Diceros bicornis minor: one gene and its partner. The protein of the gene in region 2 purifies or fractionates together with the protein of the main gene of each other region. This does not show direct contact. Links are inferred from orthologs where the notes say so. Each region holds a gene or a part of one and is shown on either strand. Other genes may lie near its edges.

Region 1 (15,775 bases), on a different chromosome or scaffold from region 2:
CAAGAGGCCCCAATAAAGGAGCCTGTGTGACCTGCTCGAACCAGCACTGCTCAAATGCTTTGACCACGGAACCCTTTCACCCAGTAACACCATGAACATCCCATCAAACTAGTGTTTAGAAGATGTTTCCTTGGGAAACGTTGATCTAGGCCCTTTGAAAGAAAATCTTGATAGCCATTACGCTGAATTTAAGGCTGAAAAACCAAACCAACCCTGAACCGGATAAGGAAGAAGTGTCTACAAAGCAGAAATAACTAACATACTTCAAGGCCTTTGGGGATGGAGAGATTAGTACTGGAAACAAGAAGAAAATGTGTGAACATCCTTTGGCTGCCAGATACGAATGCTGCTGGGATTGTACGGTTAACAACTCTGGCCTCAAAAGAATCACAGATGACTACTGAAACTCAAATCTTTCTTTCAAGTCCCAAGGAACTGTCCTGAGACTTTCCAAAATAGGTTGGGGGAAAAAATACAGAATTTTTAGAAGAAAAAAGGAAAGAGGGCCGGCCCCGTGGCTTGGCGGTTAAGTGCGCGCGCTCCGCTGCTGGCGGCCCGGGCTCGGATCCCTGGCGCGCACCTACGCACCGCTTCTCCGGCCATGCTGGGGCCGCGTCCCACGTGCAGCAGCTGGAAGGATGTGCAACTGTGACATAGAGCTATCTACTGGGGCTTTGGGGGGAAAAATAAATAAATAAATAAAATTATAAAAAAAAAAGGAAAGAAAATTTTGGAACTAGGACTCTAGCCAGGCCACTCAACCCTGAGTCAAGGTACTATGGACAGTATGAATTTCCTTAATTAAAACTCTAAGCAAACAGTATAACGGTTCCTCAAAAAATTAAACATAGAATTACCAGTGATTCCACTCCTGGATATATATCCAAAAGAACCGAAAGCAGGGACTCGAAGAAATATTTATACACCAATGTTCACAGCAGCTTTATGTACAACACCCAAAAGGTGAAAGCAACCCAAGTGTCCATCGATGGACGAATGGATAAACAAAATGTGGTATATACACGCAATGGAACATTATGTAGCCTTATAAGGGACAGAAATTCTGAAACATACTACACCATGAACCTTGAGGACATCAAGGTAAGTGAAATAAGCCAATTACAAAGGGATAAATATTGTATGATTCCACTTGTATAATGTACCTAGAGCAGTCAAATTCACAGAGACAGAAAGTAGAATGATGGTTGCCAGGAGCTGCTAGGAGAGGGAGAATGGACAGTTATTGTTTAATGGGGACAGAGTTTCAGTTTTGCAAGATGAAAAAGTTCTGGAGATGGATGGTAGTGACGGTTGCACAACAATGTGAATATATACTTAATACCACTGATCTGTACACTTAAAAATGGTTAAAATAGTAAATTTCATATTATGCATATTTTGCCACAATAAAAAAATAGGAAAAAAATGATTGAAATGGCAAATTTTGTTATATATATTTTACCACAATAAAAAAAAAAGACTCAAAGCAAATGGGTTATGACCCTTAGTGTGAAATGAACATCAAGGTAAACAGTCACCTCGCAATTATCCACCAAGGGTTTAGAGTTGGATGGCCAATACTGGACACTCCAAACGTGTTTAGTTTAAAATATTTCTGTAGCACTTTCATGGAAGTCTGTCTCAAAAAGATCAATAGAGCACACAATTGAGACATATGCAATCTGCCCAAGGTACAAGGTGAAAAAAGCTCAATCTCATTTAAAATTCCTCTCTGCTGAATACCCTCGGCACCCCCACTGCACGGACTGCCAGGCAGCTCAGCCCTCTTACTCTATGCCCAGTATTTCTGTGGCTCACGTCTTCCCAAGGTTACAGGAAATTACTGAAGAGCCTCCTTGCACTGGCCTGCAGAAAGTATAGGTGGTTGGAGCAAGGTGGAACAAAAAAACTAAGACAAAATATTTCTCCTACGCTGCTGACTTTTTCAAGAAATAGAAAGCCAGAGTACCAAAAATCACTCGACACCAACGCTAAATCAGCAAATAGTAATCATGGTACAGAGCTAGAAGAAGCCTCAGAAATCTAGTCCAACCCCATCACCAAGCTTCCTTGGACCCAATGCCACCTTGGAAGTGCTGAGAACCCTACAGGACTGAGCAAGTCCTCAGGCAATGCTAAACTTCTAGTTCGACTGTCGTACTGAAAAAAATCCAAGCCTCAGGTAGTTAAAAGGCTCATCAAGATGTTGCACAGTCAGGAGCAGATCCTCATCCAGGACTCTTTCAAGGACACCACGCTGACATTCAGATTCTAAGTGCAACAAGGGAAGGGCTCTCCAATCCTAAAACAAGCAATGTGGCCGCTCCACATGGCTCCTGGCAGCCAGCCCCACAATGCTGATACCTGATGGGTGACCTTGGAGACTTCAGATACCACCTGCTTCCATCATAGACATACTGTGGGTGGTGACATCCGTGTGTGCATCTGGAACTCACTCTAGCCTTCCTGCACTCCCACAGCCGTCTGTCCCTGCGAAGTCACCACTTAGGAACCTGCACGTATTTCTGAAGAGGATCCGGAGTTACACAGGGACACACCACTCATTCTACACACGGCTGACTAGTCATCAACTCAACAGGAATTTACAGAACACCTACTTCGGGCCAGGCTCTAGTCTAGGCATTAGGAATACAACAGCAAATGTGAATCTTGGTGACCCAAAGCCATAGTAAAAGCAACCCTGACATCTGTTCAGCATAGTTACAAGGAGCTCTCACACAACCCTCAGCAATACCAGGAGAATCCCAGGTTTCTGTTTCTAAGGCTGGTTCCAGGCTGCATTGCTTGCCAAAGGAACAAAATGCTTCTCTTTTTTTCTTACCACAAACTGTCAAACAGCATAGTGAAGTAATTATTGTTTTAATTATTTTGTAGAGTAGGAGATAAGCTTAGAAAGGTCAACTGCCTTGCTCAAGGTCTAGAATCTAGTGAAGTCTGACCACTTCTCCCCACCGCCCCACTCCAGCAATGACCTCATCTGCTAATTGTATGGTCACACAAAGATGAGACCACATGTAGTGGACATTCACCTGCAGTCAGACCTGCACAACATCCTTCCTGATCTTCTTCCTTTGGAGAACTGCTTCTCCTCCTCTAAAGAACCAAACAGTAATGGTACAGGCTACCAATCACAGCATCCCATCACCCTATCCTATTGGTTGGGTCCACTGCTGGGCCCATCTTAGTCCTCTAGCCCCAACCACAGTGATTGGGCCTCACATAGACACATGACCCTAGCCAGGCCAATCAGAACCTTACCATGAGATCTTTCTGCCTGGGCAGATCGGCTAGAGCTCCCTTTATTCTCTGGTCAGGGGCGGTGAAGATGAAGCCCAGAAGGGCTTGAGTCCATGTCCCAAGCCCATGGGAAAAGCCTGCAGCGTTCATAATCAATCATCCAAAAGCCAGTTTCCCCAATCCAACCCAATGTTTTGGAATATTATACAATAAATTTCTTTTCTGCCTAATATGGTTTGAGCTACATTTCTGTCACTTTCATTAAGGTACCCTGACCTAATAATACATAGAGGGATAAATAAAATCTGCCTTTCTCTTAGAAACCTCTTCTCAACCATTATTTTCAAGTTCCTCCACCACTTCCTCTCTATAACACAACTAAAACAACCAAAGGAAAAACTACAATGGTTGGAGCTTTCCCTTATGTCCACGTCCGTCGACCCTCCAGGCAGAGTGGATGAAGAAAAGGTGGCAGGTACCCGAGCAAGCACGGAGAGAACAAAAGGCCCAGATAACCTCTAAGGAATAATAAATAATCCATATCTGACAATCAGCAGCCAACTGCCCTCATCCTGCTGGAAAAGCCTGGCAGAGCTATTCCTTAAAAAAAAAAATTCCTCCAGCTTTAACTTCCAACAAGTGTACAGTGCCTAAATTCCAAGTGACGTCCAAACCCCTCGCTCAGCCTAGACATCACGGTCCTCCAGATTACCTCTGCATCCCGTCCATCCAGAGCCAATGTCAATCCCCTGCTCTACTCAGGCACACACTGCTCCTGTGACGGCTAGGCCTCTGCTCTCGTTGTATCTATGGCCCAGAAGGTCGCCCTCCCTTCCCTCTGCGCATTCACAGCACCCCTTCAATACCCAGCTCAAGCCCCAGTCCCTCCGTGAAGACTTCCTCGGCTTCTCCAGCAGACACTGCTGTCTCCATTCTCTAAACTCTGGTGAAGCCAAGTCAGCCAGCTCGCTAGGCAACTAAAGAGGAGGCATGGAGGGGACGAGGACACATTCAGCTCTGAGCACACAGCACACGCAGAGAGGATCATCAAGTTCTGCCACTTCTGCCCCACAAGAGAGGCCTGGCGTGAAATGGCTTGGGGAACCCTCCCCATTTAGATGGTAATTAGAGCCAGGAGGAGGTGGATGACAGTATTTGGGGAAAGCACGTAGCATACAGAGTTTTAAAAGGCGGAAAAAGCCTGCTTGCATTTCTATCACTCAACTGATCTGTCTCATAATGTCGCTCTCCTGAGTGTCTCATTCCCCCAATGAGGCAGTGAGCGGAGGGCTGGAATTACATCCTACGCACCCCCGTCTCTGTCCCCTCTGGACCGAGCACAGGACCAGGCACTTGAGTCGTCCCCAGTCACATTCTGCTCTCCTGGGGGCTGAGCGGGCAGCCTAGCACCCTCAGCCCCGTTTCACAGATGAAGACGCTGAGGTTCCTGGCCAGGAAAGGGCCCTCACTCCAGGGGCAGGCCGTCGAGGATCCTCAAGTGAGAAAACCCAGATGTCAGCAACTGAATCAAAGACAAAAAGCAAAGGATCCTGGTACAACTGTGGAAAACACACAAGAGATCTGAGTCACTACGAGGAGAACAAGAGTTCTCTCCTCTCACTACCACCGGCGGGGGCAAAGGTGACCACTTCTTCCTTACAGATCCAGGGGTCGGGACAAGGAAAGGCTATATAATTCCAGAGCTCCCCGATGCAGGAAACAGCCTGAAATTCCAGTGGGAGGGCCTAATCAGGTAACAGGAAAAACCGCCCCAACACGGAATCAGGAGCACTGAGCTTCGCCTCGACCCGGGCTCCTTTCTGCCCTGTCCCCACACCTACAGAACCCAGTGTAACGCAGAAAAGACACCACTCACCTCCCGGGGTTTCCACGGAATTAAGGGAGATATTAAAGTACGTGGTAAGATACAAAATGCTGAACAGCAATGTATCGTCAATCCTGGGAGTCCCAACACCCTCCAAAATAAAACAACACTGTATTTTCTTGGTCACTTCACACCCCAGGCCTGAGCACGCTGGATTATAAACATCTGGGGCTCTAACAGAGCATGAGCAGAACGGACAGGTTTGGTTTGCTCACTTGCCCAGTACCACCTAGGACAGCTTCCTCCCAGTTCCAGGCCCCATGTTGGGGGACTGCCAGACATCATGTGCCTGCAGCACAGCAAACTCCCACAGCACACAGTGCCACCCAGGGGATGGGCCTCCCGAAGCAGGGCCCTACACGTGGTGTGGAATCCACCAAGGAAGCCCTTACTGGGTGATGGTGGCACCTCCTATGTAGAGATGGTAACAAAAGGGCCTCCCCTTGACGCTATGGATCCTCGGGAAACCAACTGGTTCCTCTCTCAGGCTCCCACAAGGGGCTTGCACCAAAGCCGACTTACAGGCAGAGCCGTGGACCTGCCTGCAGAGTGGAAACTGCTAGAGAGAGTAAGGGGGCAGGACACGGTACTGGGTTTCCCCGACTTTGGCTCCTTGGAGATGAGACAGGTGCTTCCATCCCTTCAACCAGAGCAGCTCTTTTATGTACTGCTCCCTGGCTAAAAGAAAAAATAAGCTGGTACACCCCTGCAGAGCAGTTCATCCTTTACAAAGATCCCAACACTCTACTGTCTACTTGCACACCATGTCACCCTCTCCCCCAGAAGCTCTAGATGGTACCTTGCCATATCAAATGCTATCCTAATTTTTTTCTAAAGTATTAACTAAAATGAACTTAAATTCCCCTTGAAAATTATTCTTCTGAGGATTTCATGATCCTCTGGCAAAGTTACAGAACTCTGCATTCTGGTAAAACTAGGGTCTGAAATCACTTCCCTCAGGGATAAAATCCAAACCCTATTCCATCCCCTCCTTAGAGGTCAGGACCAGCTCCTAGAACTTCCACCCTCTGAGGTCCCACCTTCTCCACCAGGCATGAAAAAGGGAGAGACCTAATTAATGGCAATCATCCATCTATTCCAGAGATTAAAGCTAGCGCTGATTCAAACACACCCCAACAAGGACTTGAGTCTGCACTCCAACTTCTGCACTTCCTTGATAAACTTCCTGCTTCAAAGATAGACAGATGGATAGACAGACAGAAAGCAATTAAAAAGAAAAAAAATTACCCCGATGAGAGTTCCCTCTGTCCTCATCCTCATGGCCACATCTGACAGCCCTTCTTAGAATCTTCCAAAGCACCATTCACAGGAGAGAACTGGGTTTGCCCAGAAACTCAGATACAACTACAACTGGTGGACAGACTCTAAGTGTGGGGGGCATAAATGCCACAGAGTTGGAAACCCAAAGTGCAGACAGAAGGGCCACCAATGGAATGATGTGCTGTGGGCCCGCAGTTTAGGGTCTCTGTATGTCCATTTCCTTTCCTATAACAAGTGAGGTTGAGATGGCCAATATACATTGGAGCTGTTACCCGGAACGGTAACCCAGCTTATAAAATCATCCCCTTGAGAAGTGAGGCTTTTAACAGCCAAATAAGCATCAGTCTTTGGCCTACAGGTTGCTAAGGGCAGTTTGTCAGCCCTCTCGGATCACTCTTAAAGCAAGGACAAGACATAGAAAAGGTGGCACTTGCTGATTTCTGGCTCCAAAAGTGTTCAATTAAACAAAAGGTCATAATTGAAAACTTCTGGTTTTCAATACTTTGAGCATTTTAACCAGTCCAAACTGGAATTTTCTCTCTGGCAAAGCAGGAATAATAGCTCACAGAGTGGTAACAACTGAACGTGATAGAACAGGGTGCCTGCCACAACAACAGGTGCCTAATAAACGCTGGTTCTCTTCCTTCCTCAGTGCTAAGCCTTCTTCCTCAAGCTTCCTTGTCTAAAAAGCTGGCTTTCCACACTCTTCAACCAGACCAGGCCAAGACTACCACTTGTCACAAACTCCCAGCAGTACTGCCCCCCACACACACCTACAAATCCATCACCCACCACCCAAGGGAACCAGCCACCAGTCTTCCCTCCTCAGGCAGCTCAGCACCGTCAGGGAGCGATCTGAGCCCCAGCAGCCAGTACTAGGATTTTCCCATGGTGCAATGCAACTTCCCCAACTTTTCCGGGCCCATAGTTTCCAAAGAAACCTAGCAGACATTGTGCATAATCAACCACAAGTCTGAGCGAGCACACAGATTTGAGCTCTGGGCAGAGGGAGATGAGCGAGTCAGAAAGTGAAAAGACACCAGTGGTCCTGCAAGGGGGTGGCAGAGCCCAAAGCTCGGGAGTACCGGTCCTGGCCCTGGTTCCATTCTTCTAGGCTGTATCATTAATTAAAGACTAGCAGACGCTCCCAAAGGACTGGCGGGTGGCGAAGAGCCTTAGAAAAGGGACTGACGGCCACCCCTCCGAGGTCACCGCGCGGCGGAAGCTGGTGGTCTCGGGAGGACCCTGCTGCCGTGGCAGCCGGGAGAGTCAAGGCCTGCAGTGCCGGCATAGTTCAGAGCAACCGCTGGACTCAGGGTGGGGGTGTGAAGCAGGGGTCCCCGCATCGCCTCCCCTCCCTAGACCGACTCCTTTAGCGGCCAGCGGCAGGTAGACTGGTGGCCCTTGTGAGTCACCCCTAGCACAGCTGGAGAGAGAAGTCGTGGAAGGCAGGTCCGAGAGGCCGGGGCGGGGTGACACTCACCGGCGCCCTCGGCGGGCTGCGGCGGCCCGACGACGCCGTTCAGGTAGAGAATGGGCAGCAGGTGAGGCTGCGTCTTCTCCAGCGCCGCCCGCAGGTCCTGGAAGTGGTCCCGCTCCTTGGCCAGAAGCAGCTTGAGCAGCAGCTCCGCCTTGGCGCCTCCCGCCTCCTCGTCCAGCTGCCGCCGCTCGCCGGGGCTCAGCGCTCCCGCGGCCTCGAGCAGCCCGAGCACGGCCTCCACCTCCGTCATGGCCTGGGCCAGGCTCTGCTGACACTGGGCGAGCAGCTCCCGGCGCTGGGGCTCCATGGTGGCGGGCCGCCCCGCCCCGCCGGACGGCTCCCGGGCCCCCGAGGCCGGCGGGCGCGCGGGCTGGCTGCGGCGGCGAGGGGCCCCGCAGCGCCTCGGGGCGGCGAGCGCCCGGCTGCAGCCCTAGCGCGCCGGGAGCCGCGAAGCGCAGGGGGCCATGGGCCGGAGCCGGGGCCTGGGCGGGCTGGGGGCCCGGGCGGCGAGCGGCGCTCAGCAGCGGCCGCCTCCCGGGCTCAGGAGCGCAGCCATGTTGGCTGCAGCGGCGGCGGGACTGGAAGAGGAGGAGGAGGAGGAGACGGAGGAGGAGAAGGAGGAGGCGGAGGTGGGGACGGCGGCCGGGGCGCGCCCCGAGGCCCGGCTCCAGCCGGGCATGCTCCCCCCCCGCCCTCCGCGCCCGCCCGCCGCTCCCTCCCCGGCCCCGCGAGAAAACTCGCCCCGAAACCCCGGCGCCGCCCCCCAGACAAGATCCCAACTCCGCAGGGAAAGCGGCCAGGCGGGGTGCGCCAGGCCCCCGATGGCTCCGGCCCGGCCCGGCCCGTGCGCCCCGGTCCGGCTCACCGGGGCCCCGCGGCCGCCGCCCGCTCCGCCATGGCCCGAGCCCCGCCGCCGGCCCGCCCCGCCCCGCCGCCCTCTCCCCTCCCCCCGGCCGTCCGTCCGAGCGCCCGGGCGGCCGGCCCGCAGGGGATGGGCGAAGGGGAGGGGTCCCCGGCTCCCCGCCCCCGGCCCGCCTGGGAGGCGGGGACGCTGCGCTCGCCTGCTCTCCGGGTCCCCGAGGCCCAGGCGCCGCCGGGGATGGGGGACGCGGAGTTGGGGGCCCTGCGTGAAGCAGCCCGCACCCCCAGCCCCCTCGGCCGTGCACACGGCCAGCCCCCAAGCTATTGGAGACCCCCTCAAACAAAGGCCTGCCCCCAATCCAGAGTCTCCTAATCTGAGAACTCCAAAATAAAGCCTGGAGACAATTGAGGGAGGGAGTGCCCTAAATTGGACATCTCCAAGTTAAGACCCCCCCCGAATCTGTGAGCTTTCCCCACTCCAAGGAACTCTTATATAGAGAATTTTCCAGTATACTCTCCCAAGACTCGGTTAATCAGGATCTTTCCCCTCACCCCCATTTTAGATGAGTTGGTTCCCAGAGTCTAAAGAGGACTGGATGTTGGGAGGAGGGGGAGGGGGTGTGTTGTTGGATGAGAAAGAGAGGTGAGGCTCTGCAGGGGAGCCATGGATTTTTTTGGCAGGAGAGGTGTTCTCCTCCCTAGATGTCACCCCCAGATTCTAGCTAGTCTGGAGAAGGTAAATCAATGGGCTATGGAAACCTTGCTTCCCTGATGCCCTCAACCAGGATCTACAGTCCGGCTCCAAGTCCAAGAACGTCTGCCTTCCGTTACAGCCCTTTGTGGACACTTAAACCTCCCAATTGCAGGAGGAGGGCCTTAAAAGCTGGAATCCCAACGGATGGCTCTCAACAACCCCACGGCGCTGGTGTGGAGTGGGATCCCAGCGCCATTGCCAACGCCTCTGTTGGAATGAGTGAAGTTATTAACAAGCACTGGGGGCCACAGGTGCTTTTTCTACTGACACCGTCACTCCCACCCCCACCATTTTCTCTCCTCTCCCCAAAAGCAAAGTTTTCTACAAGATTCTGCTTCTTTAAGGGGAGGAGTCGCTTTTATTTAATGGAAACAAACTCTACATATAGTGGTTAGAACACAAGTACCAGAATTTACACTTCAGTTTTGGATTTCCCTGTAAATAGCTGCACAACGTGGGAGCAAATCAATTACTCCAGCTGATTTCAGTTTTCTCAGGAAAATGAGGAGACAGTGTATTCTTTCAGGGGTTATTAGCCTTGTGTTCATGAATAAGCTCGAGGGTGTCAGTGAACATTTGAAATTATCTGAACTTTCTTGTGGACATGTATGTATTTTTCTGGGATGGAGGTGTATAGCTTTGATCAAATTCTTTAATGACCCAAATGGTGGAACTAAACTCTTTTACCCGCTGCTCAGATAGTCTGGGCTTCTACGGCTGAGCAAGGTTCTAAAGAGAGGAGAAGGCTGGCTATTGCACAGTGCCAAGGTCCAGACAGGCTCCCTAGCTGTCCCTCCCCGTCCTGCCCCTGAGAGATGGTTCCCTCTTCTGGCCACCACTTCCCCTACAGCAACTGCAGAGCCTAAATCATCCACAAAGGCATCCACCCTTCAGGACACACCTGGACCTCTGTTCTTAGCTGGATTAACTAGAAATCTAGAGGGTGAGAGGAAGGTGGAAGGGGAGAGGGGGAGAAGTTGTAGGTTAATTTGGTTTATGCTTAGAACCAACTCTGGGTAAATCCCAGATCCAAAGGGTGTCTGAGATAGGAGGGGGCAGGAGGGAGGCACGGTCTCCCAGTAACTCCTAAAAGGATGGTGGGGAACATGTGTGTTTAGCCTCTGGAAGCCTTCCCAGGAAGCAGTGAGGAAGTCCATTTGCTAAGAGGGTTTTCTCCCAGGTGCTGTACAGTGATAGACACTACTTTCAGCAAACCCTTTATTGGAAACTCTGGGGTTTTATGCAAAGCATAAATTCTAGAGGAAATCATTGACTTTAAAAACACGTTAAACTTTAGGATTCCTTTTTTTTTTTTTTAAAGATTTTATTTATTTATTTTTCCCCCAAAGCCCCGGTAGACAGTTGTATGTCGTAGTTGCACATCCATTCTGGTTGCTGTATGTGGGACGCAGCCTCAGCATGGCCGGAGAAGCGGTGTGTCGGTGCTCGCCCGGGATCCGAACCCGGGCCGCCAGCAGCGGAGCGCGCGCACTTAACCGCTAAGCCACGGGGCTGGCCCATGGGATTCCTTTAACCTGTGACCTTGGTATAACCTTGTATTTCTGTAGCATTTTATACCCTTCAGGGCAGCTTCCCCCACATTATCTCCTTTGTGCCCTGTTCTGGGATGAATTGTGTCCTGCCAAAAGATACGTGTAAGCCTTGATTTCCAGCGCCTGTGAATGTGACCTCATGTGGAAATAGGGTCTTTGCAGATGTAATCAAGTTAAAATGAGGTCATACTGGATTAGGATGCGCCCTAATCCAATGAATGGTGTTCTTATAAGAGGGAAATTTGGACACACACACACACGAACACAGGAGAATACCATGTGAAGTGGAGGCAGAGATTGGAGTGATCCATCTAGAAGACAAGGAATGCCAAGGATTGCCAGCAACCACCAGAGCTAGGAGAGAGGCCTCGAACAGACTTTCCCTCAGAGCGTCCAGAAGAAACCAATCCTGCTGACACCTTGACTTTGAACTTCTGGCCTCCAAACTGTGAGCTAGTAAATTTCTATTGTTTTAAGCCCCCCAGTTTGTGGTAATTTGTTATGGCAACCCCAGGAAACTAACGCAATCTCATCACAATGGGGGAGGAAGGAAAGACAAAGATGGGTTGCCCCATTTTACAAGTCACTGTCACCTCACCCTTCCACTGCCTAAGAATTTCTCTTTAGTTTTACCTACCTTTCCTCCTTTTTTCTGATCTTAGAGAAAGAGGGCCCCTCCTCCTTGAGAACAGCCCTCTCATGCTCTGGATACAATCCTTGTATCCTGGATACGCCCCCTCCCCCCCACACACACACTCACACATATACTCACATACATTCATACACACACTCACATGCACACATTCACACCAGTCTCCCTCTGCTATGGCTCAGGCCTCCCTCCCCTTTGTCAACAAAGAGGCTCTGGTGTCCCCATTCTCAAGGGCTCCCCTGCCCTCTCTCATGTCCTTAGGAAAGAACCACTGCCTGACACGGGGACCTCCACATGCTCATAGACAGCTCAGTCCTTGGTTAGTGCTTTGCAGTCCAGCTTTTGAGCACAACTCCCCATAGAAAACTGCTCTCTCCCCATTAACCTCCTGATGCCACCCAGGGCCTTTCCTTCACACCTCCTCCGGTGTCAACTCCGCTCTGCTTCACCCCACCCTGAGAACACCTTCTTGTTCTCCCTCTAACCCCTCCCTCACCCATGGCTCCTTTCTCTCCAACTTGACTGTACATTCCTCTTCTCTCCCCATACTCCCTCCCTCCCAAAGGGTAATCACTTTGGAGCTGGACAGATATGAGCTCAGATCCCAATGCTGACGCTGGCTATGTATCCCCCGGGCTAGTTACTGTTCTGAGCCTCAATTTCATCTCAAATTTGGGAATAAACCTCACCCTTTGGTGGGGTAATTAGGAGAGTTCGATGACAGGCCTTATACAAAGCCTGAGCACAATGCCTGGTATCTGGCAGGCATATAAACCCCCTAATGTAGTGCTTGAGCAGGTAACTTCTGCAGTCAGAATGCTGATTTCAATAATGGCTTTGCATGGGCCGGCCCTGTGGCTTGGTGGTTAAGTGCGCGCGCTGCGATGCTGGCGGCCCGGGTTTGGATCCCAGGTGCGCATCGAGGCACCACTTCTCCATCCATCCTGAGGCTGAGTCCCACATACAGCAACTAGAAGGGTGTGCAGCTATGACATACAACTATCTACTGGGGCTTTGGGGGGAAAAAATAAAATAAATAAAATCTTAAAAAAAAAAAAATAATGGCTTTGCAACTTACTAGCTGGGTAATGTTGGATAAACCTCTCTGTGCCTCAGTTTCCTCATCTGTAAAATAGGAATATTACTAATAGGATCAAAGTAGTTAGTGCTCAGTCAATGGTGGGTGTCACTGTTCTTTTGGCTTCCACTCTCTCTTCTGTCTGAAAGGAAGGCCTCTCTGCAGCATGTAGCAACAGGTTTTGAGCAGATGTTTCCAGGTCCCTGAATGAATGGTTGTGGACTCCAGCTGAAAGACTTCCATTTCGCTTGTATTCAGAGAGCGGGCGAGGGCAGGGGCCCCTTCTACCTGGTTCTCTGCTGTATCCCCCTAGCACAGCGCCTGGCATGTGGTAGGGGCTCATAAATATTTTTTAATTAACAAGTGAATATGTAAAGGAATGAACGAACTAAAGAAGTTTGCATTAAGGCCTCATTTCAAGAATACTATCTGCTGAAAATGGAAAGATGAGGAATGAGAGCACCTGAGAACAGAGCAGGATCAGAAGCAAAATGAGAGAGGTTCACAAACTCACAGATGCCGCAGGATGCGGGCGGCAGGTTGGGAGCTCAATGGGGGCACCTGAACTCTGCCCACTATGGAGCAACCACCCCTGGGGGGCTCAGTACCAAGCTCCCCACCCTCTCCTGCCTTGCCCTGCATACAAGCTTGGTCCACCAGACCCTGCTAAAGATGCCCCTGCTCAGAAATCCATCCCCCAGTTAAGGTAGTCCTGAGGCCACGGCCCCCTCCAGGTTTCTGCAAGCACAGTCCTGCCAGGGAGCATTAACCCTTTGATTCAGAGCCCATTCTGCACGTTCCAACTTAGGTGTTACCTGCTTTAGGAAGCCAGACGTGCCTTACTGACCTCCTCTCAAAAGGGCTGTCTCTGCTCCTTGTTGTCATTGCAACTTTTTACTTCTCTTTTATTAACATTTAAAAACTTATATTGTTAAAATTGTCAACTCATTACTCTATATCCCTGTGGTAGGCAGAATGTACCCCCCAAAGATGTCCATGCCCTAGTCCCCAGAACCTGTGAGTATGAAATATGTTACGTTTCATGACTAAACGGACTGTGCAGATGTGATTAAAGTTACAGACTTTGAAATAGGGAGAGCATCCTGGATTATCCAAATGGGCCCAATCTAATCACATGAACCCTTAAAAGCAGAGAATTTTCTCAGTAGAAAGGATAAGTTTCTCTTGAGCAGGAGAAGGAGAATCAGAGAGATTCCAAACAGGAGAAGTATTTGACTTGCCATCACTGGCTCTGAGATGTAGGGACCCACATTGGAGGACCAGAGAGAGGCTCTAGGAGTGAAGGGTGGTCCCCAGCTGACAGCCAGCAAGGAGATAAGGACCTCTGCCCTACAATAGCAAGGAACTGGATTCTGCCAATTGCCTGAACAAGGCTGGAAAAGGATTCTTCCCACAGCCTCTCGATGAGAGCCCAGCTGGCTGACACCTTCATTTTAGCCTTGCGAGACCTAGTCAAGCCAACCTGGACCTCTGACATACAGCACTGTGAGATACTACATGTAGGTTGTTTTAAAGTTCTAAGTTTGTGGAAATTTTGTTATGGCTACAATATAAGGCTAGCAGTCCCCAAAGACGATGAGCTCTGCGGGGACAGAAGCAATATCAACTTGTGCACTGTTGAGCCCCCAGCACCTGCCATAGTGCCTGCCACTTGGTAGAACTCAAAAAACACCCTGTTCTGGGCCGGCCCCGTGGCTTAGCGGTTAAGTGCGTGCGCTCCGCTACTGGCCGCCCGGGTTCGGAACCCCGGGCGCGCACCGACGCACCGCTTGTCAGGCCATGCTGAGGCCGCATCCCACATACAGCAACTAGAAGGATGTGCAACTATGACATACAGCTATCTACTGGGGCTTTGGGGAAAAAAAAGGAGGAGGAGTGGCAATAGATGTTAGCTCAAGGCCGGTCTTCCTCAGCAAAAAGAGGAAGATTAGCATGGATGTTAGCTCAGGGCTGATCTTCCTCACACACACACACACACACAAAACACCCTTTTCTATGAATGAATGGAAACCTACTCCTCCAGCAGGACTTGCTTTTGGGGTAGTTATTTATGGTATCTTTGAAAAACAGAATCTAGTTCTCCACTGGTGATTGGAGGGCAAGTTTTCAAATGAAGATACCTAGAAACTGGGCCTTCTCTGCAGACTGAGGGAGCTGGGGCCCCAGGGGCCTCTGACCCTGGACTTTATGTCCTAATGGATAAGCAACAGCTGTTCCCTGGAGAAACAGATCCTGGTGCTCTGCTCCACGTGTGCAGCTCCTTTGGCAGTCAACAGGGCCGCCTTCGAGAATGTATGTGCAGATCGTGTGTGCACGTGTGAGCATGCATGTGCACACATGCACAACAAGAGTGTGAGGGCACTGTGGGCAGGAGTGTGAGTGTTTCAGTGTGAGTGTGGGTGTCTGTGAGTACCAACTGCACTAGTATGAACACTTGGATGTGTGTGAGCGGAGAAGCAATCCTTTCTAGGATCGTTTCTCCCTCCTACCCTGGAAATTGCAGGTGGCCCAACATCAGAGATGTGACACTTAAAAGGATTTCCTTGAAGAGTGCCTTAAAAGAATGAATTCCCCCAGGATGCTGAAAATGGAATTCTATTTATGAAAATGCCATATTTCCCACAACTTTTTAGGAACACTATGACATGAAATGAACCATACCTGTTTAGAAAAAAATTAGCTTAAGCTTGGCCCATGATAGCTTCTCAAATCATGAAGACATTTTTCTTCAAACTGCCTCTGTTCTTAGTACAGGAATAGCCCACAGGCAAGTGCCCTAAGATTTTACAACAGGAAATCTGAGAGAGGCCCATACCTAGTAATGAATCTTGCCCAGAGTGCCAGGACAGCGCAAAATTCTGAGATCAGAGATGCAAATCCTAGGAAAGGATTAATTTATGATTAACAAATAGTTAACAACTATTTTTTGAGTTCCTACTGTGCGCCAGGCAC
Region 2 (15,973 bases):
CAATCATCAGAGCATGTCACACTTCTGCTCACAATTTCCCTGTGGTTCCTCAGCTCTCGCAGAGTAAAAGCCAAAGTCCTTACCATGGCCCCAAAGGCCTTGCATGACGTGACCCGTCCCCTCTCTGACTCCATCTCCTACCACGTGCCCCCTCTCACTCCAGCCCAGCCCCTCCTTGCTGCTCCAGATCGGGCCAGGCCTGCTTCTGCCTCTGGGTCTCTGCTCCCTGTGCGGTGGCGCTCCTCCCAAGCCCTGCAGGGCTCACTGCTTCACTCCTCAGCTCCCTGCTCAGCTGCCGCCTCTCAGGGCCTTGTCTGACCCGCCTACAGCCGCAGCACCTCCCTGCACTGGCACCCCCAGCCTTTTTCTCCCTGGTCTCTCCACCATCTGCCACGTGAAATACGTCTCTACTGATTCCGTCTCCCTCTGTCTTAGCTTCACCAGGGGAGGGACATTCTTTTTTTGTTCCCTGTTTTATCTTCAGCACCTACAATAGTGCTCGGCACACAATAAGTGCTCAATAGATGGTCAAGGGTGTGCCTGAACCAGTGAGTGCCCTTGTGGCTTCCCAGTACCCTCAGAGGATACCGTGGACAATGTTCGTCATTGTCCTCTGAGGACAGGGGGCAGATTGGAGCCCCCTTTGGCCTGTTTCAGGGACCACTCACCACAGAGTCTGGGGTGGGTGGACAAGGCCTCCCCGAGCAGGTGAGTTCTCTTTTCTGAATCCCCACCCCAGCCCCAGGGGCCGGAGCCCACTCAGGCAGAGAGAGGGCCCTGGAAGGGGGTCTCACCTGGCATTTTCCGGTGAATCTGCTGGAACATTCTCCGGTACCAGTCCCTGGGGCTGTCAACACTCTGGGATCAGAAAAGGCAAAGTCAGGCCACCCTCCCAATATCAAGTCACCAAAGTGTTCCCTCACTGAGTCCTTTCTCTGGCCACCCTTGAAGCCCCAGTGGGTGGGCTGTTATCTGTTGTATCTTTAATAACAGTAACTTCACGTGGCGTGTTCCATATGAATAAGACACATGGAAGCATCTCCATCAGTGACGACCTCTGAGCTGTGAGATGGGGGTGGTTTACGTTTTTTCTCTTTGCTTTTCTATATTTCTGATGTTTCCACAAAGAACATGTGTTTCTAGGTCATGAAAAATAAATGCAGTCATAGAGGGGGAAATGGTATTTCACATCCCCTGCCTCACCTGAGACTCACAACAGCCCTGGGTGGCGGGACAGGCATATTGCCAACTTCAGGTTCAGATGAGGAGGCGGAGAACCAGAGGCAGGCGGCTGGCTCAGGACAGGCGTGGAGGCAGAAGTGGGCAGGGCCCCCCAGAGCCTGGGCCCAGATGCTTCCATGCCTGCTATGGCGTGAGGCCTCTCACTCAGCCCCCCACTCACTCATTCAGCCAGTCATTCATTGAGCAGCCAGTTCACGAGTGCCGTGCAAGGCCCATCCTTGCCAGGAGCAAGCCTCCCAACAGTGGCTCTCCGCCTCAGAGAACTTGGGGGCATTCTAGCTCCCCTTTTCCCCCCAACAAACCACTTGTGCAACTCAGACACACAAGAGTGCCTGTACCTTTATGGGGCTCATGACCCCCGAAACCCATCATGGTTGAACCCCTGCTTTAGTCTGGAATGGTCTGGGTACAGCCCTTGTGGCCCCTACTTTAGTTTACAGAAGTGAACCATCATCTGTCAGTGGCCCCCAGCCCTGGACTCACAGATCGGGGGGCGATAGGCATGCCGCTCTCATCCACAGGCCCGATTCCCTCGTACTTGACCCAGCGCTTGTCCCGACGTTTGCTGTCCTTAGTCCACGTGGCTGACCAGTTCTGGGGATGCTGGGAGGCTGGGGTCTTCTGGCTCCCAGAGGGCCGGCTCCCAGGGCCTGGCCAGGTCTGATACCAAGCAGGGTCTGTGGGGTGTGTGCAGGAGAGCGTTAGCAAAGGGCAGGGACCCCACCTGAACTTGTTCGTCCCTTAGCTCCTCAGAACATTGATCCCTGTTGGTTCAAAAGTTTCAGCATCTCCTTGTTTGTTTGAGTTGATGACGCAGACTCTAAAAACCTCCCCATCCCCAGCAGGACCACGAGCCTCTGTTTATTTTTTAGTAAAAGTGAATGAGAATGGATTTTGTCTTGAGAAATCTGTGCCCACCCCCACCCCACACTGCTTTCCTAGGGCTGTCCTAAGACTTTTCAGGATGAGTGAGGGCTGAGAATCATCATTTGCAGAGAATGCTGGGGACATCCCAGCTAGGGAGGCAGTAGGATGTGGCAGAAAAGACGCTGGGCTTGGAGGGGACAGACCTGAATTCAGAACCCGGCTCTGCCACCTACTGGCTGTGTGACCTTGGGCATAGCAATCAACCTCTCAGTACCTCAGTTTTCACACGTGTAAAACGAGGGTAATCATGGCAAAGATTCAGGGAGATCTCGTGTGTGTGACCAGCACAGTGCCTGATCCACAGTCAAGAGGCTCTCGATAAGGGACAGAAACTCATTCACCAGACGTGGTTACTGTGTCCTCAACTTCCCCAGAACCTCAGCCCCCAGGTCACCAGTATAGCAGCATAAGGGCTGCCAGGCCAGACAGACAAGGATTTTTTTTTTTTTAATAAGTTTTTTATTTTTTAATTTTATTTATTTTTTTCCCCCAAAGCCCCAGTAGATAGTTGTACATCATAGTTGCACATCCTTCTAGTTGGTGTACGTGGGACGCGGCCTCAGCACGGCCAGAGAAACGGCGCATCAGTGCGCGCCTGGGATCCGAACCCGGGCTGCCAGCAGCGCAACGCGCGCACTTAATCACTACGCCACGGGGCCGGCCCAACAGACAAGGATTTGAATCTCAGCTCAGCCTCTGCAACTGCACATCTCTGAGACCCAGGCTCCTTACTGAGAAGATCCTGATAACTGTGACTTACCTTGCCAGGACACTGAGGGATTAAATGAGAAAAGGCTCCAGCATGTTCTAAGCGTTCAACAATTATTTGTTAAATGAATAAACTACTTGACACAGTGCCCGCCTCAAGGGAATGCTCAATAAAGGATGCCATCCTCCTCAGGAAAGGGGCCTTCAGGGTGGGCCTGCACCCCAGAGGTCCCAGGATCTCCCAGAGCCCATAGGCCAGACTGGGGAGGTTCACAGGAGCCCAGGAGCTGAGAGGCTCTCCAACTTTCTGCTGTGCTGGTGAGTACAGACCTTAGGGTGCAGCATCCACCCCTCTACAGCCAACATATGCTCACATTCCTCCACCCTTCCATCCCCGGTCCAAGCTATTTCCTGGCCTGCTGGAGGCCACTCTGGGGCCCAAGGCTCTGTCCCCTGTACACTTCCCTCGCCTGGCACTGGGGGAGGGGAGGGGAAGGGATCTATCAGCCTGCTCTCTCCCACAGCGAATTTCACTCTCATAGGCCAACACGCTCACACTGGGAGGGGCAGTTAGCTGAGCTCAGAGGCCCCCCCATCCCTCCCCTACCCCTCCTGCCAGACCCAGGGTGGTAGCAGATGGCAGGGCCCAGGAGGCTCTGATCCCCCAACCCCCACACGGGACTCCTGAGCAGACCCACCTGGGTGCTGGGAAGCATCTCTCAGTGGGAAGTACCCATTGCATACAGTCCTGGGCGCAGGGTCATGGAACTGGAAATTAAGGGTGTTGGAGCCACCATTCCGGATCACAGGCACCTGTGGGAAGGGGCCAGGAGCAGCAGCTCAGGCCCAGAAGGTTCTGCAGAAGGTGGGAGGGATGGCTACCAGGGCACAGCCAGAGTCCATGGTGAGGGCTCGAGGGCCAGCCTGACCCTTCTGGGGGAAAGCGGCGAGGCTCTCTAGAGCTGCCTCCCAACCCTTCCCTCCCTCCATTCCTTTAATCCTCCTGCCCCTATCTGTCCTGCGAGGTCCCCGCCAACTGTGGGCTCACAGCACTCCCTCTCCCTCGCTGTCTCACTCACCCATGTACCCCGGGAGGATGACCCTAGGTGGGCCCGGAGGTGGCTAGGGATGAAGTCATCCAGGCTGAGCCCAGTGGGGAGGCTGCAGGGTGGGGCCTGCATGCTTGGGTCAAGGTCGGAGGACTCCCGGTGTGCCAGCTGCTCCGCTGTTTGTCCTCTGTGGGGAAGGAAGGAAGGAGGAAGGAAAAGTCCTGCTGAGCCCAGGCTGCTGTGCCCTCTGGGCCTGACCCCAATAGGGGTGGGGGAGGAGGGCACGGCTGTGGGAAGGGGTCGAGACCAGCTGGGTGGGAGCTCAAGGACCCAGGAAACAGCCGCTGCAGGCCCCTCCTGCAGGCTGCCCCATGCCGGCTCCTAGAGGCACAATGGGCTCTTGTTAGGCCCCAGGCAGGAGCTCGGGGTGGGGGTGGGAGTGGGGGAGGGGAAGGCCCAGGCAAGGAGGAGGGGAGGCTGGCTAGGAGCAGGCCTGCTGGACAAAGCCTGGGGCCCGTGGGCCTGCTGGTCAGCCCCTCTGGGGCTCTCACTGCACAGTGCAGCCCGCTCCCCCAGAGGGAAGGCAGAGGGAACTGGGGCAGCTGGCAGGGGCAGGTCTGGGCACTCAGCATTTTGTTTCAGTTCCCTCTGCCTCCCCCAGGCCCTGCGTGCGCATCTGCTTGCCAGGGGGCACAAGGGGTTACTCAGGCCGGGGAAGAAGCCCTGGACAACGGCAAGGCCATCCGCCCACTGCCCAACGGGGCCAAAGTTCTGGGGACGGGGAGAGTGTGGAGGCATTTCCAGGCAGCAGGAACCACTCCTGGACTCAAAGTTTCATCTCCCTTCTTTGGCATCCTTCGCTTGCTGGGACTGAAGCCTCACAGGGCTCAGGGTGCCAGTGAGGAGTGGGAGTGGAGAACGAAGCAGTGGGTAAGGGCTCTGTTGGACTTGCTGATGGAGGGGTGGTGCTGAGTGCCGCACACAAAGACACATACATGTGGGCACACCCCACTGCCTCCTACACCTCCAGGCTCTTTTTTGAACGAAGGATCTTCCTGGAAGCACCATGCCTGACTGGCCAGCCGGGTTCTTCTGCCCCATGCAAGGGTTGGGTCAGGGTAAGGGGGCTGCAGGCACTCTGGAGATGGAGGCAATGGGGCTGTCCAACAGGGCTTTTCTACCCAGAGGGCTGAGGTGTGGAGCCTGTCTCTCCTCACCTGTGCTATTGCACCGGGCCAGAAGCTGAGCCAACCTCCACCACCTTCTGGGGCTAGACCAATTCTGGCATTTTTGTTCAGCGGTTAGCCTTGTGTGTGCCTGTGGTGTCTGGGGGTTCATGGGAGGGCTGCGAGGGCCTTGTGAGGTGCTGTGTGTGTGTGTGTGTGTGTGTGTGTGGTAGAATGTAAGCACAGTGCTGTGAACGCGACTTGGGGAGCGTACCACCCAGGGTCACGTGAGCAGAGTGGGGGTATGGGTACAGAGGGGTGTCAGCTGAGTAATAGGTGGGGGAGAGTGCAGTGGGGGGTCATATGAGCAGCACAAGAGTTATGGGGACCAGAGGGGAAGAAGGTACAAGAGGGGCTGTATTACTCCGGTACCCAGTTCCTGCTCAGGGCATGGGGGGCTGGAGGGTAGAGACAAGGCTGGGGGCAGCTCCCTGTCTCTGGTCTGAGTGAGGATTCCTTCTGACATTCAAAAGACCTATCGAGGACAGCTTTTCCATGCCCATCCCTGGCTGTGGAAGAGTGGAGGGCTGGGGCTGGAGGAGGGGCAGCTCACCAGCTGGATCCAATTAGGCCTCCTACCAAGAGCAAAACATGCAGACCCGCCCCAGTTCTCCTGCTCTCCCTCCCCTTGTGGGGGAAATTGAGGCAGGCAAGAGCCTGAGAACAGAGGCCTGGAGAAGGTTGGTTCCTAGCAGCAACCCCTTCCTGCCCAGCTGACTGCTTGAGGCCAAATTGCCAGGTCAGCATCAGCAGCCCTAACCATCAGCTGACCCGGCCTCCTTCCCTCGCCTCGGTCCCACCCTGCTGTGCTCGTGAGAACTGCCCTCTAGTAGGATGGGGTGGGGGCAGGAGGTCCCCCCACACACCGATTTTTCAGGGGTTGCTGATCCTTGGTGGCTCAATCTGCCCCTCCCCAACACTGTGCCCCGTGGCACCCCCCAGGGATATGCAGGGGTGGGTGGGGAACAGTGGCTGAGTTTTTCTCCTGGCAGCCAGCCAGGAGACATTAAGGAGGACTTATAGGGGAGACAGAGGCACGGGCGAATTGGTCCCACGCCCGGCAGAGGACAGAGGGTACCAGGAAATCTACGGGGTCCCCCCAGAATTCAGGAAGCCCTTCACCCCGGCAGCCAGCTCCAAAGGGCTGGAAGAGCTGCAGAAGCCGTGTTGGAGTCGGTAGGCTCCTTCCCACTTCCAAGTACCGCCCCGACCCCGGGGGCTTGGCTCTCGGCGCTTTCCCGGGTATTCTCCAGCTACAAGTCCACATGGACACGGCCAGGTTTCCTCGAATTTCGCCTTTTCTGAATTGAGGGAGGGCCTCTTACCTCTTTCCACCTCAGAGTTTGGGACGAGGACCCCAGGGGGAGGGGCCCTCTGCCTTCCCTTCGGGTCGGGCGCGGCTCCCTCCCGGCCTGCGGCCCCCGCCCCCTCTCCGCCCCTCTCCCTGCCGGCACCTACCTTCCCCGGCGAGCAGGTGGCGGGGCCTAAGGATGCCCGGGAGCGCAGGGGCATCTCTGCCCGGCTCCTGCCTGGCGCGGCCGCGGCGGGCGCTCGGGCAGGGAGGGCAGGCAGAAACCCGGGCTGTGCCGTCCGCCCTCGTGACCGGGTCAGGACGGGGCCCGCAAGGCCGGCGCCCGAGGGGAGCGGGGGACCGACGGGGCCGAGGGCGCGCACCGCAGGAGGACCAGGAGAGGCGCGGGCGGGCGGCAGTGTCGCCCTTAGTCTGGACTGTGGGCCGCTGGGGGGCGGGGGCGGGCGGCGACTCCCTCTCCCGCTGGCGGCCGGGGGCGTGCGAGTGCCCTCCGTCGGGGCCGGGCGGGCGGGGACGCCGGGGCCCCTGCAGAGGGGGCCGGGCCGGCCGGAGGCGGCGCCGGGAGGGGCCGCCGAGGGTCCCCGGGGAGCCCGCTCGGGTTTCCCAGCTGCCTCTCCCGGCCCCCACCGCAGGGCTGGCGTCGGGGCGGGGGCGGGAGGACCGGCGAGAGCCACTCAGAGTTTCCAGCGACATTTCCAGCGTGTGGGAAGGGAGCCCTGCGCGGCGGAGCCAGGACAGAGGGCAGGACTGATTCAAGAGGCCGGGCCGAGCCAGCAACTGATACGGAGCCGGCAGCCTCGGAGACAGGACAGGGCTGCAGACAGGCTGGGGCCGAGATAAGGGCGCCACGTGCAGAGCGGCCTAGCGGACCGAGTTCAGGTCCCGCCGCCTCCCTCCGCCCCTGGGGAGAGAAATCTCGTGCTTGCGTAAGCGCGTGCCCGGCGTGTGCAAACACACACACACACACAGGCGCGTGTGCACTGCAAACGGGCGGATGCTCACACACGTGCAAGCACCGCGGAGGGCAGCCCGGAGAGGAAATCCACCGACGGGAGCTGGCCCCCTAGGCGAGCCGCGCCCCTGAAGAGGATGAGGGCGGAGTCCCTTTGGCCGGGATGGGGTTACCAGGGTCTTGGTGTTCCCATACGCGTGTTTGTTTTGATCTTGCTGCTTTTCCGCTGTTCCCGCTGCTCTGACACGGGTCCCAAGAGCCCGCGTCCAGTGGCTCTCCACCCCTTGGTCATCCCTCTTCCCCTTCTCCCCCAAGCCTCTGGTGGGCACAGGGCCTGTTATAGAAAGTGAGGGTGCTTACTGAATGTTTACTGCTGATGGAAAGACTCTGGAGTACTTCTTAGCCGTTGGCTTGGTTCTGGGACCCCAAGCTCCAAACCAACCATATAGCAAATAGTTATTGGGCAATTTCAGATCCATTTCGGGAGTGATCAATTATAAATTATGAAAATATGAAAACGTTTACTGCATACCTACTGGGTGTAAGATTGGTGCCCTGAGGCCACCATGCACTTCAGAGTGTTTTCCAAGCACATCATTCAACCTTCAGAAGGAAGAAGGAAGAGAATGGAGGAAAGATGAAAGAATCTTTTCTTAAATTCCTACATCGTTGATGCTATTAGCTTGATCCTTCCTCAATTCAGTTAAAAGATGTTTCCAGTTGGGGTGAACCAGCTTGAAACAATATCACACGTGAAAAGCAGAACGAGATGTTTAGGCTGAGAAGAAGCTTAAGAGAGGGAGGCATGCTGGCTAGCTCCCAGTGTCTTCAGGGTGGTGTGAGGAAACAGACTGGCTGCACCGGCAGAAGTGGGACCATTGGGTGCCCACTTGGAAGCAAATCCAAGGTTTCCAAGGATGAGCTTTTACATGATTACAGGAATTCTGTACTCTGCCAATTGGGGGACACCTTTGTAAAGGCAATGATTGCACGGAGCAGGGAGCTGAACGAGATCACCTTGAAGACCCCTTCCAAGAGTCAGTGATTTTCCAGGACAGCTGAAGGGACAGGGTTGGGATGGGTAGCCCTGCCCACAGACGACAGCTGCAGAAAGGAGTGTAGGAGCTCTCGGACTTCCTGAGGGCAAAGTGCATTTTCCCTTCCCTAAAGCTTGGATACTTACTTACCCACCCCTAGGCACCATCTCCTTCCCTCCCTCAGGGACAAAATATGTGCCCATGTCCCTTGTCATCAGTTTTTTCCCACCTGTCAGGATCCTCACGACTAAGAAGGGCCACATCTTTTTCATGTTCTTCCTTGTTCTCCAAAGATGGTGAAGCTGAAGATCTCCCAGCTCCAGGAATCCTGGCCATACCCTCTCTCACCAGCAGCAAGCTTCTCTCATTCTCTAGGGCTCTGACCTGGACTCCAAGATAAATATTTAACGTAGAGGGTGCAGCTGAGCTGACAATGGTCTCAACTTCCTGTGTGTCACAAAGGGAGGTGGCAGCCATGGGCAAGGAGCTGGGGACTGGCTACCAGTTTCATCTCTATGGGAATAGGGAGTCCAGTAAACAGCTTGTAGGAGGAGGCGGGGTAGGCCTTGCTGGAGGAAACCTGAGCCTTTCTCCTGAGCTTCTTGGACTTCTGCCTGTCTACTTAGGCCCGGGCTCTGCTGTGCTTATCACCTTCTCTCTCAGGACAGAAACTGCTTTGCCCTGGCACCAGTGGAAATCGCCCTCCTTCCCAGAGTCTTAGGCTATGTGCTTGGACAAGAGCTGTAACAGGATCCCTCTATCATGTTTCCTCGTGCCCATCCAGCTTGACAGAAGAGAGGATGAGAGATTGGTGGGAGCATAGAACATAAGGAACCTTGACCGACTCCTCCTTTTCTGCCCATATTTAGGGAGAAGAATCCCTCCTCTTTGAAAAGTGGAAGATTAAAGGGCAAAAAGTACCAAAGTCCAGAGATTCAGCCAAGAAACAGGTGTCTGATTTCTCAGCTCCTCCCTCCAGTCTCAGTTCTACTTGCTGCTGGCCCGACCCCTAAGACAGCTGGCATGGTTTAGGGAGAGGCTGAGGATAGGGAAGGCTGTCCTAGGTGACCTGGCTGTTTCAACAACAGAGTAGATTCCTTTCACCCCAATCCACTATCTCCTCTGGCGTCTGCCTTATTATCTAACAGGGACCTCCCTCCCTGTGACTCTTCCACATCTCTGGGACTGCCTTTTGTCAGGGGGCTGCCTCTGTCTTCTTAGAGCCACTTGAGCCATGGTAAACAAAGTTACATAACTGCTCTGTTTTTTCCTAGCTATCTGATCCTACTCAGCAGGATGCCCCACACCCACCCTGCTCCTTGAGGCTGCCACCTTGTACACTATGGATTATCCCCCAGTGGCACCCATGTCAACAGAGGTCTGTCCACGCCCACCACCCTAAGGGATGATTAGCTGAGAGACTACCAATAGATGTTGTGGCTCTTCACACCAAGGGGAGAAGAGGGTGGCTGTTCATACAGGAATACAGGTCACTCTGAAAACCAACCTCTGTTACCAAGAGGAGGGATAAATGGAAAGAGCACTTAAGTAGTTTTTTTTTTGTAAGTGAGGAGGGTGAACAGAGAATTTAGTTTTATTTCTCAAATGAGAGAAAGGAAGCAACGGATCCCAGAAGACATAAGCCTGAATTCTTGTTTCTTGAGGAGTGTCTTTTTTTTTTTTTTTTTAATTTTTTGTTTATTGCAGTAACATTGGTTTATAACATTGCAAAAATTTCAGGTGTACATCATTGTACTTCTATTTCTGCATGGACTACATCATGTTCACCACCAAAATACTAATTACAACCCATCAAAGGAGTGTCTTTATCTAGTGCTGGGAGTCTGGCATTCGAATGTCACCCTCTGAGATCTACCCTGAGCAGCCAAGGGGGCTCCCTGGCTCTGTGCCTCAGTCCCCCGACATTAGACAAAAGAAGGGCATTTGCTATTGCTTCTCTCCTCCTCCCCAGGGATGAACTCCTGGTATATTCTTTAGTTAGTTTTTTATTTGTGCTCTCAGAAATGAGTTTTCTTCTTGCCAGGGGAACTGAGCAACCAGATCAGAATGGCTTAGCAAAGAAAGCAATGTCCCTTTCAAGGAGTTTAGACTTCTCTAGAGGGGAAGACCACAGTGACCCATAGGAAAGAATTGAAACCAAGTCACATCAGACACACCAGTGCAAATCTGGACTGTGTTTCATGCCCTGGGCTCCATCTCTTTCTCTGGGTCCTCTCCTGATTCCAGCTCCTGCTGATGTTGCCAGCCAAATTCCACTGATGGCCCTCGTCTATGCCAAACACTCATGGGAACAAGAGCAACAGAAGAGGAATACAAGTGACCCACTGTGGGGCTTGGAAGACCCTCCTAAGCTGACAGTGGCATGACCTGGTCCCTCTGGAATCCATATTTTTTGATATAGTCACTGTAAAGTAAGGGATCTCTGTGAGTCAAAAAATACCCAATACAGGTCAAGTATGGTCAGTGTCAGGGCCAGGCAGCCAGGGTGAATAAGTGGATCCCTATGGGAACAGAGGATGAGGCTTTCAGGCCTGCCTTGCACAAATATTTCCATAGCACACACACGATGTAACAGGCATCTACTTAGGGTTCTCAGAGTCAACTATATGCAAACCCCAAAGGCCATGAGAGCACTCAGCCTTTTGTCCAATTATCTATTCATCCTTCTTCAAGGATGCCTCTACACTGACGTCACATCGGCCACTGTTGTCTCTCTCCCTCCCTCCTTTTGTAGATGAGCACACAAGGACAATGTGCAGATGGGGTGTCTTTGAGAAGAACCAAGCTGGATGAACCTCTTTTAGTTCTCACGAAAGAAAGAGCAAGTGGCTGTCAGCTCTTTAGGAAGCAGATTTTACAAGAGAAGGATAACTAAGTGATGACCTCAGAGGGAAAACCCAACCGAGTTAACTCAGCCACAAACAAGGGCACACAGACCAGGAGCTGGAAAACTGGGTCTGCATCAACCTTCTTTCCTAGAGCAGGTAAATGGAGATAAGGAAGATGAGAGGGCTGATTTCTTGGCCAGTAGACACCGCAAGGTAGTGCTTTGGCCTCCAAACAAAGAATAACCTTGTCTTCCCACCTCCTTCAATTCTATGATGAACCTTCTCCTGAATTGCAGCAACGTTAAAAAGACTGCCTAATTTGCCATTAAGTTATTAATCCACTGTATCAAAATTAAATGGACTTTCTTTCTAAAACCTGAAAGTTATGATAAAAATTTAAACAAAAAGATCATGCAATTACATACAGCAGGCAAGAAAGCAGGGACTGGATCTAGATGTAGTAAGAGTTAAACATGAATTTGCATTTGAGTTCTTAATTTCCAGGCTTGTAAAAATTTTTTTCACAACTCTGGAAATAAAGGCCAATATAACCTCATTCTACTGAAGGTTTAGCTGAGGTATAAGGACACTGCTAAGTCAGGACGCTCTTGGAATAACAAAAATCCCAAAATGTATACTCAGCTCATTTGAAAGGAGAAATCTGGGCTCATCTTCCAGCCTGTAAACTGCACTGTGGCCCTTGATATGGCTGTCCTTACAGTCAAATTGCCATACTTAGGCCTGGCAGGGCCCAGACCTAGACTTTCCACCTCTACTGCCATAGCCCATAGCATTCCTTCACTGATACATTCTCCTCCCCAAGGACCCTGGGCACTTTCCCTATCCTTAATCCCCCACTTGACCAGAGGAGGTTATTTTTCCTTGTGAATCCACAGCACCTCATGATATTTCTACTTTTCAGAGGAATCAAAAGGCTGGTCTGACACTTCCTTTTCTTGGTAGTCCAACTCCACATTCCACTCCTCTCTGGCTTATTTGACTTCTCTCAAGATGCAATTCATCCATGTCTATTATTAAGATCCCATGCAGAGTTATTAAATTACTATAATAAAAATTATTTTTATCTTTTGTAAAGACTATATGTTTTCTGGGATGTCTTTCTTCCTTTCTTCAAGGCGCTGGGACTTGAGCATGAGTTAGTGGTGGGCAAAGTGCCAGGAAGGAGGCTGGGGCGAGGGAGTGGATTCTGAGTGGGAGAAATAGAAACACCACTGCAGCCAGCAAAGCCAGTTTAAAACTAAATGGCTGAAGAGGTGAAGGAAAGAGGTCCTTTTTATTCTGATGGGATTCCTTTCCTTGAGAGGGGAATTCCTTGCAATTATCAGAGACCAGACATCAAACGTCAGGCTTTCCCTTGACTTCTGGAATTATTAAATCAGTAAGAGCCAAATATAAGTGCCTCCACTAGGAAACAAAGGAAATAAAGACACAGGGAGCCAATAAAGTTATCATTTAATTTTAAGAGTGTTTTCTTCTTTTTTGTTTAAAGATGACTTCCAACTTACAGTAAGAAATTTTTAACATTAATTTCTTGTTCACAAAAAAGATGTATTAAATGATTTCTGCCAATAAATAACATTTCCACCATTTTCTTTAACATGATTGAAAGCATGAAAAAGCAAGTAATCTCTAAGCACAAGCAAATAATCAATCCATCGTTCAGAATAGCCTTAAAAAAATTACACAACCAGCTAGCCTCATATATCTGACCACCTCATTTAGGAAGCAAAATGAGATCCTTTCTTGGAAAATGCCTGCTGACCAAATAGCTATTGGTCACAGTGCACTGAGAAAGGAAAAGTGAGGCATTTATGATGGCATCTTCAAAAAGGTTCTTTGACAAACAAAAAACTTCTTTATTGCCTCAAATCAAAATCTACGGTAGGCCTCCTCCACATTACATGCACTTCACTTTAACATGCAAAAAAAAAAAAGTTATTTGGAGACAACTATGTCAAGGGAGTAAAGGGAATCTGGGCAAGAACTTACAGGAAGGCAGTGCGCATGGCCCTACTTTAGAGCTGCTCAGAGGGATGGTCCATGTCCATGTCCTCACTTCTTGATCTTAAGCCACCTAGACTTGTCATGAGGGTGTAGAAGAGAAGATGCATAACCCTGTCTCAGACAAAGGTGTTATTTAGCAAGTCTTGCCAAGGTAGCTGGGGCGTGAGGCCAAGGCCTCCTGGGAGGGAATATACTCTCCAGTATCATCTTCACCTTTGTGACTGCATAGATGAAGGCAGCTAACCCTGACCCCATTCACTCTGGCTGGCCAGACATAGGCAGGTCAGGTCACAAGTCTCAAAGCAATAAAGGTTCCCTCTTTCACACTCTGTCAAAGGCACAAAGCTCTATTGTTAACACAGTTCTCTGCTCCTCTCAAGATAAGACTAACAACCTTGTTTTCGACTACACAACTTTCTTCCTCTACACACATCTGCTCTTTCTTATGGCTTTCCCACAAGCGTTTGATCACAGCAGTGCTAAAGAGGGACTGTGGCGATACAATGCTTCAGAACTGTCTTCCAGGTAATCTAAACCCTCCTCCAGCTACTAGTGCGGCTCCCTAGGCTGCCCTCTGCTCCCTCCTACAGCAGACTTCAGAAAAGATGTGGACTGGGTGCCAGACGAGGTGGTTATAACCACAAACGATTTAGGAAATTGGAGCCTCATCCTCACAACTGGGGCTCTGGGTTCACCCTCCCTCTGAAATCTTTTCTGCTTGGGTAGAGAAATCTGAATAATGCTTTGAAAAAAACCTGGGTTCTACTGTTACTATAACAACTATAATAAGTATTGGGGATTCTAGAATGATATCTCAATAAGTCTTTATGGGTTCAAAAATAATTTTCAATACAAAAACTGAAGGGAAAAACCTAACAGATTAATACAAAGAAAAACTATGAATCAGTCAATCTGGGGCAAGCTCTTCCTAAACCATTTTAACTGACTGATCACCCAGATTGGTTAGGAGGAACTTAATTCTCAAGAGCTTCAGTTTTATATTTATAGATATAGTACAGTCAAAAATTCTGGAGATTAGCTACAATATTTACATAAAACAAGGGAGGGTAGAGGAACAGATTTCAGCTTTACTCATTCTGAAAGGCTAGAGAGACTCTTGAGTAATGACCATGAGCAGCAAGCCCAGCTGTATCTCATGTAGGCATGGTTTATAATATTTTTTTTTATAGAGAGCAGCTGCCTCAAACTTTGTGTTTTAAAATTACTCAGAAGAGGATCTAAGGGACAATGCCAAGGCTGAAATGCCCAAAGTTATCCAATTTTAGGAAATCCCACCCTTGCTCCTTAATGACATTAAATAATAATATTGCCAAGGGTTTTTCTTTCCCTGAGCAGTGTCAGGAAATCATACATAAGTTATCAGGATAAAAAGCAAATCTTTGCTATTGAGAGAAAACTTGCTTCATTGAACTGCAATTGTTCATTTAGGAACAGAAAAGACAATCTAATTATAGATAAAACGATATGAAAAATACTGGTATTCCTGGAGAGGCTGATTCTTCTATTCCTAGGCAAGAGCCAGATCAAGCCCATCCGAGTGCAATAAGCCGTTTTCAATTTGCTGGTCAGTAGCCAGTCACAAAAGGCCTGCATATCAGCAATGTCTATACCCATAACCAAAGTGTTACCTTGAGTTACCTGTTACTCAGTGTTTTAAAGAACATTGAGGCTGCTTTTGTTTTAGTATCCCTATACATACACATACACACACACACCCCCACCCCCACCCCTAGCTGATTGTTTTGCTTTTGCTCTAAATATTCAGAACACAGAGATTTAAAAAGGACATATGTTTTGAACTTGTGTTAGATGAGGTTTTAAATTTTTATTAAAAAAGAATCATCTGCTCAACTTGCAATTTCACATAGTGTGGATGTAAACAAAACTGGGAAAACCAGTCCTTGGGAAGTGTCATGTCATTTCTTTTCTTTTTTTTTTTTTTTTGTGAGGAAGATCAGCCCTGAGCTAACATCCATGCTAATCCTCTTCTTTTTTTTTGCCGAGGAAGACCAGCTCTGAGCTAACATCTATTGCCAATCCTCCTCCTCCTTTTTTTCCCCAAAGCCCCAGTAGATAGTTGTACGTCATAGTTGCACATCCTTCTAGTTGCTGTATGTGGGACATGGCCTCAGCATGGCCGGGAAAGCGGCGAGTCGGTGTGCGCCTGCGAACCGAACCCGTGCCGCCAGTAGCAGAGCGTGCGCACTTAACCGCTAAGCCACAGGGCCGGCCCGGAAGTGTCATTTCTAAAATGGTACTTCACAAGAGTTCACAAAGGAGCCCTCTGACATGTCTAGGGAACTGATGAAAGGGGCTTCCCCAACCCCCACCCCAGATGAGAAGTTGAAAAAAATAAGGTCCCTGTGGACCTTAAAGTGAAGGAGAGCAAGAAAAAAAGTATTTTCAGTATCTTTAGACCAAGCAGCAGGGAAGATTTAATAAAACAGAAGAGGCTTTGAAAACAGCAATACTGCAGAGCTCTGACAGCAATTACAATGTCTGAAATGACGGCCCTAGGCAGGAATAATAGTCCTACGCAAACCCAGGGCAGGCAACCAGCCATCTTAGGGGCTACTGTTTAGATTAAAACCTTCAAAAATATGTTAAAACCCTCCAACAATGTTT

The links.
Region 1: the proteins of SORBS3 (region 2) and DLG5 purify together in Homo sapiens (co-immunoprecipitation; 3 studies listed by BioGRID and IntAct, with this or other methods). This does not show direct contact. The link is inferred for Diceros bicornis minor from reciprocal best matches to the Homo sapiens genes SORBS3 and DLG5.

What each region holds. Positions count from the first base shown.
Region 1 is NC_080745.1:29,209,942-29,225,716, reverse strand, and holds the start of DLG5 (disks large homolog 5), read right to left. Parts: upstream 8,561-15,775; 5' UTR 8,212-8,560; coding exon 7,908-8,211; intron 1-7,907. UniProt on the Homo sapiens protein: Acts as a regulator of the Hippo signaling pathway.
Region 2 is NC_080750.1:71,323,679-71,339,651, forward strand, and holds the start of SORBS3 (vinexin), read right to left. Parts: upstream 6,792-15,973; 5' UTR 6,611-6,791; intron 4,114-6,610; 5' UTR 4,059-4,113; coding exon 3,957-4,058; intron 3,691-3,956; coding exon 3,576-3,690; intron 1,920-3,575; coding exon 1,726-1,919; intron 859-1,725; coding exon 795-858; intron 1-794. UniProt on the Homo sapiens protein: Vinexin alpha isoform promotes up-regulation of actin stress fiber formation. Vinexin beta isoform plays a role in cell spreading and enhances the activation of JNK/SAPK in response to EGF stimulation by using its third SH3 domain.